Linked DNA regions of Macaca mulatta. The protein of the gene in region 1 interacts with the protein of each later gene in a biochemical or structural test. Links are inferred from orthologs where the notes say so. Each region holds a gene or a part of one and is shown in the gene's direction. Other genes may lie near its edges. The genes, in order: SCN8A and FGF14.

Region 1 (3,830 bases):
TAAACAGATGGACCTCAGAAGACAGATACAGCCTGGATGTGGCATTTCACACCTGTAATCCCAGGACTTTGGGAGGTTGAGGAGGGAGGATTGGACTGCTTGAACCCAGGCATTCAAGAACAGCCTGGGCAACATAGCAAGACCCCCATCTCTACAAAATGTTTAAACTAAATCAATAAGACAGATACAGTATAATTTCCTAACCATAGTAGGAAATTATATAGGATTCTTACATAGTAAATCTATAAACACACACACTAGAATGATACATACCATCTTCAGGATTGTGGATGCTTCATCTGGGAATGATGAAAGAGGAAGAAAAATTGGCAAAATGCTAGCCTGTATTAAATCTTTGCTCCATCCCAGTTACTCGGGAGGTCTGAGGTAGGAGGATCACTTGAGCCAAGAAGTTTGAGACCAGCCTGGGCAACATAGCAAGACCCCATCTCAAAACAAAAAACAGCATCAAAAAACAAATTTGTGTGTTAGTTATGCAGTGTTTGGCACATAGGTGTCTATTTTATTGTCTACTTTTCTGTATGTTTAAAACGTCACTTTTTTTGTTTGTTTGTTTGTTTGGGTTTTTTTTTTTTGGAGACAGGAGTCTTGTTCTGTCACCAAGGCTGGAGTGCAGTGGCATGATCTCGGCTTACTGCAACCTCCACCTACCGGGTTCAAGTGATCCCTGTGCCTCTGCCTCCCAAGTAGCTGGAATTACAGATGTGCACCACCATGCCCAGCTAATTTTTTATTTTCAGTAGAAACAGGGTTTCACCATGTTGGCCAGGCTGGTCTCCAACTCCTGGCCTCAAGTAATCCACCTGCCTTGGCCTCCCAAAGTGCTGGGATTACAGGCGTGAGCCACCATGCCCAGCCAAAATGTCACTTTTTGAGAGTTCAGACTGAATAGTAAGGCACTTATTCTGCAAAGCCCTTTGAACCTAAGGGTTCCACAGTGCCAGGTAAAAAAAGTAAAGAGAAAGGGTGTCTCCAATCTCAATAACATAACGTCTTCTATTCCTCTTCTTAGGAATGTTCCTGGCAGATATAATTGAGAAATACTTTGTTTCCCCAACCCTATTCCGAGTCATCCGATTGGCCCGTATTGGGCGCATCTTGCGTCTGATCAAAGGTGCCAAAGGGATTCGTACCCTGCTCTTTGCCTTAATGATGTCCTTGCCTGCCCTGTTCAACATCGGCCTTCTGCTCTTCCTGGTCATGTTCATCTTCTCCATTTTTGGGATGTCCAATTTTGCATATGTGAAGCACGAGGCTGGTATTGATGACATGTTCAACTTTGAGACATTTGGCAACAGCATGATCTGCCTGTTTCAAATCACAACCTCAGCTGGTTGGGATGGCCTGCTGCTGCCCATCCTAAACCGCCCCCCTGACTGCAGCCTAGATAAGGAACACCCAGGGAGTGGCTTTAAGGGAGATTGTGGGAACCCCTCAGTGGGCATCTTCTTCTTTGTAAGCTACATCATCATCTCCTTCCTAATTGTCGTGAACATGTACATTGCCATCATCCTGGAGAACTTCAGTGTAGCCACAGAGGAAAGTGCAGACCCTCTGAGTGAGGATGACTTTGAGACCTTCTATGAGATCTGGGAGAAGTTCGACCCTGATGCTACCCAGTTCATTGAGTACTGTAAGCTGGCAGACTTTGCAGATGCCTTGGAGCATCCTCTCCGAGTGCCCAAGCCCAATACCATTGAGCTCATCGCTATGGATCTGCCAATGGTGAGCGGGGATCGCATCCACTGCTTGGACATCCTTTTTGCCTTCACCAAGCGGGTCCTGGGAGATAGCGGGGAGTTGGACATCCTGCGGCAGCAGATGGAAGAGCGGTTCGTGGCATCCAATCCTTCCAAAGTGTCTTACGAGCCAATCACAACCACGCTGCGCCGCAAGCAGGAGGAGGTATCTGCGGTGGTCCTGCAGCGTGCCTACCGGGGACATTTGGCAAGGCGGGGCTTCATCTGCAAAAAGACAACTTCTAATAAGCTGGAGAATGGAGGCACACACCGGGAGAAAAAAGAGAGCACCCCATCTACAGCCTCCCTCCCGTCCTATGACAGTGTAACTAAACCTGAAAAGGAGAAACAGCAGCGGGCAGAGGAAGGAAGAAGGGAAAGAACCAAAAGACAAAAAGAGGTCAGAGAATCCAAGTGTTAGAGGAGAACAAAAATTCAGTATTATACAGATCTAAAACTCGCAAGTGAAAGATTGTTTACAAACTTCCTGAATATTATCAATGCAGAACAGCTGTGGAGACTCTAACCTGAAGATCTATACCAAACGTCGTCTGCTTACCACATAACACAGCTGCATCTTGAGCAGTGACCTGCCAAGGGCAAAGGACCCCGCTCCCTAGACTCACAGATTTTCTAATGCTTGGGCAGGTGGTTACTGCATGTTCCACATCAGTCAATGCAACTTAGGACAAAACTAACCAGATACAGAAACAGAAGAGAGGCTGCCGGGACCAGCGTATTTCCGTTGCAGCCAAATGGATTTTATTTTTTCATTTTATTGATTCTCAGAAGCAGAAGGCATCACTTTAAAAGTTCGTTTGTTCATGCAAACTATATTTGCATTCTTACATTAGTTAAGCTAAGCAGCAAAAAGAAAACACACACACACACTCACATTTAGCCCATGTCATTTAATTGTCAGTTTCTTTGACATAAAGCGCATCTTCTCCACATGGGCTTCACATGGTTTGGAGATGGGTGGGGGAAAACAATCAGGTTTCTTCAGGCTGAGGAGGACTTGCTCAGGCCGATTCCAAACATTGTGCTCGTTCAATGCGTAGAAATGATTTGCATGATGGCATGCCGTGATCAGAAGTCATGCATGAGATCCATACACCACAGGACACTACTAATCTAGTCCCTTGCATTGGGTCAGCCTTTGGACAGGACCCAGCCCTGCACCGTTCACTGTATTTGGAGAAAATGGTAAGAGTTCCATACCGGCTATAATTCTTTATTATGAGTTCTTAAAAGTCCTTCATACACCTTCTGGGTAGGGAAATAACCAACTAATTGACTAACACCACCACCAACAAAAAACAAACCCAATCCAACAAGCAGATGGATCCGTTGTGTGTATATGTTTAACAGACATCTCTAACATACAGCCATTGTTGCACATTTTGCAAGATGAACTATTTAATGCTGCTCTGTGTCCAGTACATGGGGGAGACTTTGATCCCAAATGGCTTGTACTATTTATGTCACTGTAAAACCAAATCCTAGGGCTAAAAAAAAAAATTCATTTGTATCTTGCAGTATTTATGATGATCGTTTAGCCTTCATACTGGAGAATTGACACTTATTTGGGATAGAGTTAAAGTGCTATTCAAAGTAGCACCAGTTATCTCTAGGGGTAATTTGGGGAACTTAAAACGACCTTTCATTGGGAGTTACGGGGTGCTCATTTCATTTCGTATCATGTCCTCTGCATTGTGGCTTTCTCCAGGCATGGGTCGATGCCGCGAGGGGTTCAGATACTCTGAACTGGCCTCTCTCTTCTGCAGAGGGGTCGTCGCGTACTCACACACTGCATGGCTCCCCTGCCTCCATCACATTTCTCCACTGAGCAGGGCTTCCCTTGCCCACAGAGGTGGGTGAGGGTAGCAGCACTGGGGTTACGGCTGTGATTTCCTTCATTTATTATTAGAATAATAGTCACTGGTGGGACCTGAGGTAGAGATGGAGCCGCCTCTGAACCAAGCTCACTTGGTTTCTTTACTGCACTTGTTTTCATGAGAAAGCAATTTAATATTAATTCTTTAGGATGTTCCAGCTTCCCCCAGCGCA
Region 2 (3,830 bases), on another chromosome or scaffold:
TGAGATAGGTTTTTAACTAGTAAACAATATGCTTAGATGCCCTGGCCTGTCTCAGTAAAAAGACAAGTGAAATGCCAAAGTCTAATCCTTTTCTTTTAGAAGGTATAATTTCAACCAATATATTTATTAGTCTTTTGGGGAGAAGCCAGATTTATAGCTTTCCATTTTGTTTTACTCACCATAAATGCATGAACATGTACTGTTTTATCAATCTTTTTTTTCTGGCGCATGGCCTGGACATTGACTCAGTGAGACTGTCATTTAGTAGTGAGAAAACTAATAGGAGGATATTTGGAGATGCAGAACTCAGTGGAAAGCCAGAGCATTTATTTGGATGGGGTCTTATTCTAATCTGAGGTAGCATCATCAAGAAGAAATAATGATCTCCATAAATTGCTCCAGGAGAGGGCTAAATCTGTCATTTGGCTATTGCAATTTCATCGAATTGATCATTGTAACTGTCATCTTTGTCTTGAAAAGCATCTGCCACTAACAAAGCCTGTTCCCCTTGGAAAACTATTAGCTCTCAGTGAATTAAAGTTATGTAGACACTGAATAAATTGTCTCCTGCATGAGAAAGCATTTGATAATTCACACTTTTATGGGAAATATTGAAAGGAAATTTCTACATGTCATTAGGTCATGTTCCTAATTACAGTTAGTATAAAGTTTTAGTTTTTAGCCCCTAAGGAATATTTTTCAGAATGGGTATACAACATTTTTAGAAGAAAAACAAAAGTTATTATTTTCTGCAATAATAAAATCTGTTAAAGAAAAATGAAAACTTTGTGTATATTTTTTAGTCCAGTGGTATTTTTTAAAAAGATCAAGGACAGTAAGGATCTATTTTCCATCTATATTTATATACATATAGAATAGCACAGTGTTAGACCTATTTAAAACTAGCTAAGTGTCTTTCATGGTTTATAACCAGACAGGTTGAATTTCAAATTTACTTTTAATAGAGGACTATCAAAAATGCATATGTAGATTGTACCTTTATCAATTTTTTTATTAATGTTGCATGGGATTATATTCATTATTATTCATTCCAAAGTAAGAAGTATATAAAAATCAGCTATGAATATTTCTGACATTAATAATAGTTGTAAAGTAGCAAGCTTTGTGCTGCTCATCAATTAATGTAGTCCATGGCATTGAGCATAGTAGTATTTAACAAACTGTATGCTTTCCGAAAATGCTGGGTGGTTTTTCAGTTGGAGCAGCTTTTGATGTTTATCTTCAAGAGTTCAAGGTTTGGAGCCCCATTGAATTATTTTCAGCTCCTGTCACTATGACCAGCTAACATGACACCTGACCTCATCTGGTATACAACAATAGCTCTAGTGGCTGGCAAGTAAGCCAGCTGATTGTCATGGTTTTAGTTTGAGGTTTCAGTTTGTTCCTTTGGAAGTAAAATGTATCACCCTACGATTTCAGTGATCCAAGGAACAACTGGCAGCTGTTAAGAGTATCGTATCACTGTTCCTATGGAAACATGTAAAATGGATTATAAAATATCTGAAATGTGTATTTTATTTGGTTCACTTTATTGTGAATATCTGATGCTACTTTAATGATCCCTTTCTGATTATACTCTGGTTGAACTGTCTTCTGTTTAAGTTAAATCTTTAGTTTGCTCATGTCTTCTGTTTTCTTATGATATACTTTTGCTTCTGTATATTCTCAACAGTAGCAGATTCTTCTCAATTTATTGTATATTTAAAAAATGTATAGACAATTATTGTGTGCAGGAAGGGGTATATCCGGTCCTCCATGCCAAAGGACTCTTTCACCATGCTGGGAAACGTTCTAGAGAATGAATAGAATGTACAGTGAAGATCAAGTTCCTTCCTCTAACCTTTGTTTCCTTTTCTCTCCACAGGAACTTTTTACCCCTGAATGCAAGTTTAAAGAATCTGTTTTTGAAAATTATTATGTAATCTACTCATCCATGCTGTACAGACAACAGGAATCTGGTAGAGCCTGGTTTTTGGGATTAAATAAGGAAGGGCAAGCTATGAAAGGGAACAGAGTAAAGAAAACCAAACCAGCAGCTCATTTTCTACCCAAGCCATTGGAAGGTGAGTATTATGTATGCATTATTATTACACAGACTTATTACACATTTTATTTTTCAAATTGATAGGTCTACCAAGGCTATAAGAAACCCTCACAAATGCTGGAAATGTCATTTATTTTGATCTGGGTGATGCTTGCACAGATGCCTACTTAAGTTATTCATTTAGTTTGTGCCCCTTATATACTTTACCGTATTTGCATATGTATGTGTACCAGGAAAAATTTCTTCTCTGCCACTTCCAGTGTCTCAAATCCTCACTGCTACAGCCACTCTAACTCTTAGATAATTTAATTAATTAATTTAAAACAATTTTAAATATGTAATGATACAAACCTGTGATAAGTGTATTAGAAAAAGATAATACGTATATTAGAAAAAAATAAGTTTTGAGTGTGGAATCAAAAGTGTTTTCCATTTTGATAATATCTAGGTGAAAGTAATTACTTACTTGTGAATTATTGTAATTACAGAAAATTAAGAGATAATAGCTTGACTCTTAAAAAACTTGCTGATGTTAAACATCTGCTTTCAAACTGCGTAATTCTTCACTGTATACAGTTGTAGCATTACTTCTTTTACTAAAATAATTTATCCACATTCATTTGTGTACAGGAAGGGATATATCTGGTCATCCATGCCAAATGAATAGAAACTTCACATTTACTTCAATCAGATACCCAAAGAGCAGGCTACAAAGTTTTTTTAATTAATCAACAACATCTGCACCTCTCTCATTAATTATTCTGCCAAAAGTGTCATTTACTTTTATCTATGTAACATTTGAGAATTACAAAAATATTTGATTTTAGGCTATTCACATGTGTTTTCTATTCAAGTACTTTTGTTTACTCTTTTGCAGAAGATCAGATCTACAATAACTCAATAAATATTTTAAGCTAGCTTGGACAGCTCATTTTTCTTTTTGTGTTTTATTCCTACAGGAAAGACTTAGCCATCAAGAGAAAATGCATATTGTTTTCATAATGCATATTCTCTATATTGAAATAAAAAAATTAAAAAATTTGAACAGTCAATTCTTCATTATCTGTGAGTGTATAATTAAGTTTCAGTTTGCCTAAATTCAGAAAATCACTCTTGTTGGCTAATACTACTTTTATAATTTCAATGATGTTGACTTACTGTCACTCTTAATTATATTTTTCTGTAGAACAATTTATTGAAACCGAAACAGCCACCAGGGCCTATGTAGGAAAAGACAAATTATTCCATAGTCTGTAATATGAGTGAATTATCTCAGTATATAGTGGATCATAAGGATGATTAGAATAGAAAGAAGTTAGAGGATTTCCCTGTACCTCCCAAAAAACACATCAATGATACACTTTCATTGTTTTAAATAAATTTTGATAACATTGGACTCACCAATATTTAAATGCAAATAAAAAATGTAAAAATAAGGCCACAGATGCTCTAACAAGACCATGGTTTATTTGCCACCTTGCTTTATCTCTTTTCACTCATTTTATGTTTTGTTAACAGTTAAGAATTGACTAGATTTTTAGAACCTTACCTTTTAGCTGCATAAATGTAACAAAACCCAAAAGGGCTGTTATGTCATTTAACCGAGGTAAAATTTGGGAACCAGTTATTTTGCATATCCCATAGAAAATATCTGAGACAATAATGATGTAGTATAGAATGGTATTTGGTATTTCACTCATGTGTTTGTTATGTGTATATGAGTGTTTTGTGTGTGTATGTGTATATATATATATATATATATATA

What was found.
Region 2: the proteins of SCN8A (region 1) and FGF14 form a complex in vitro, tested with the Homo sapiens proteins (2 studies listed by BioGRID). The link is inferred for Macaca mulatta from reciprocal best matches to the Homo sapiens genes SCN8A and FGF14.

Annotation. Positions count from the first base shown.
Region 1 is NC_133416.1:58,987,448-58,991,277, forward strand, and holds part of SCN8A (sodium channel protein type 8 subunit alpha), read left to right. Parts: intron 1-1,033; coding exon 1,034-2,181; 3' UTR 2,182-3,830. UniProt on the Homo sapiens protein: Pore-forming subunit of a voltage-gated sodium channel complex assuming opened or closed conformations in response to the voltage difference across membranes and through which sodium ions selectively pass along their electrochemical gradient.
Region 2 is NC_133422.1:96,370,708-96,374,537, reverse strand, and holds part of FGF14 (fibroblast growth factor 14), read left to right. Parts: intron 1-1,885; coding exon 1,886-2,084; intron 2,085-3,830. UniProt on the Homo sapiens protein: Probably involved in nervous system development and function.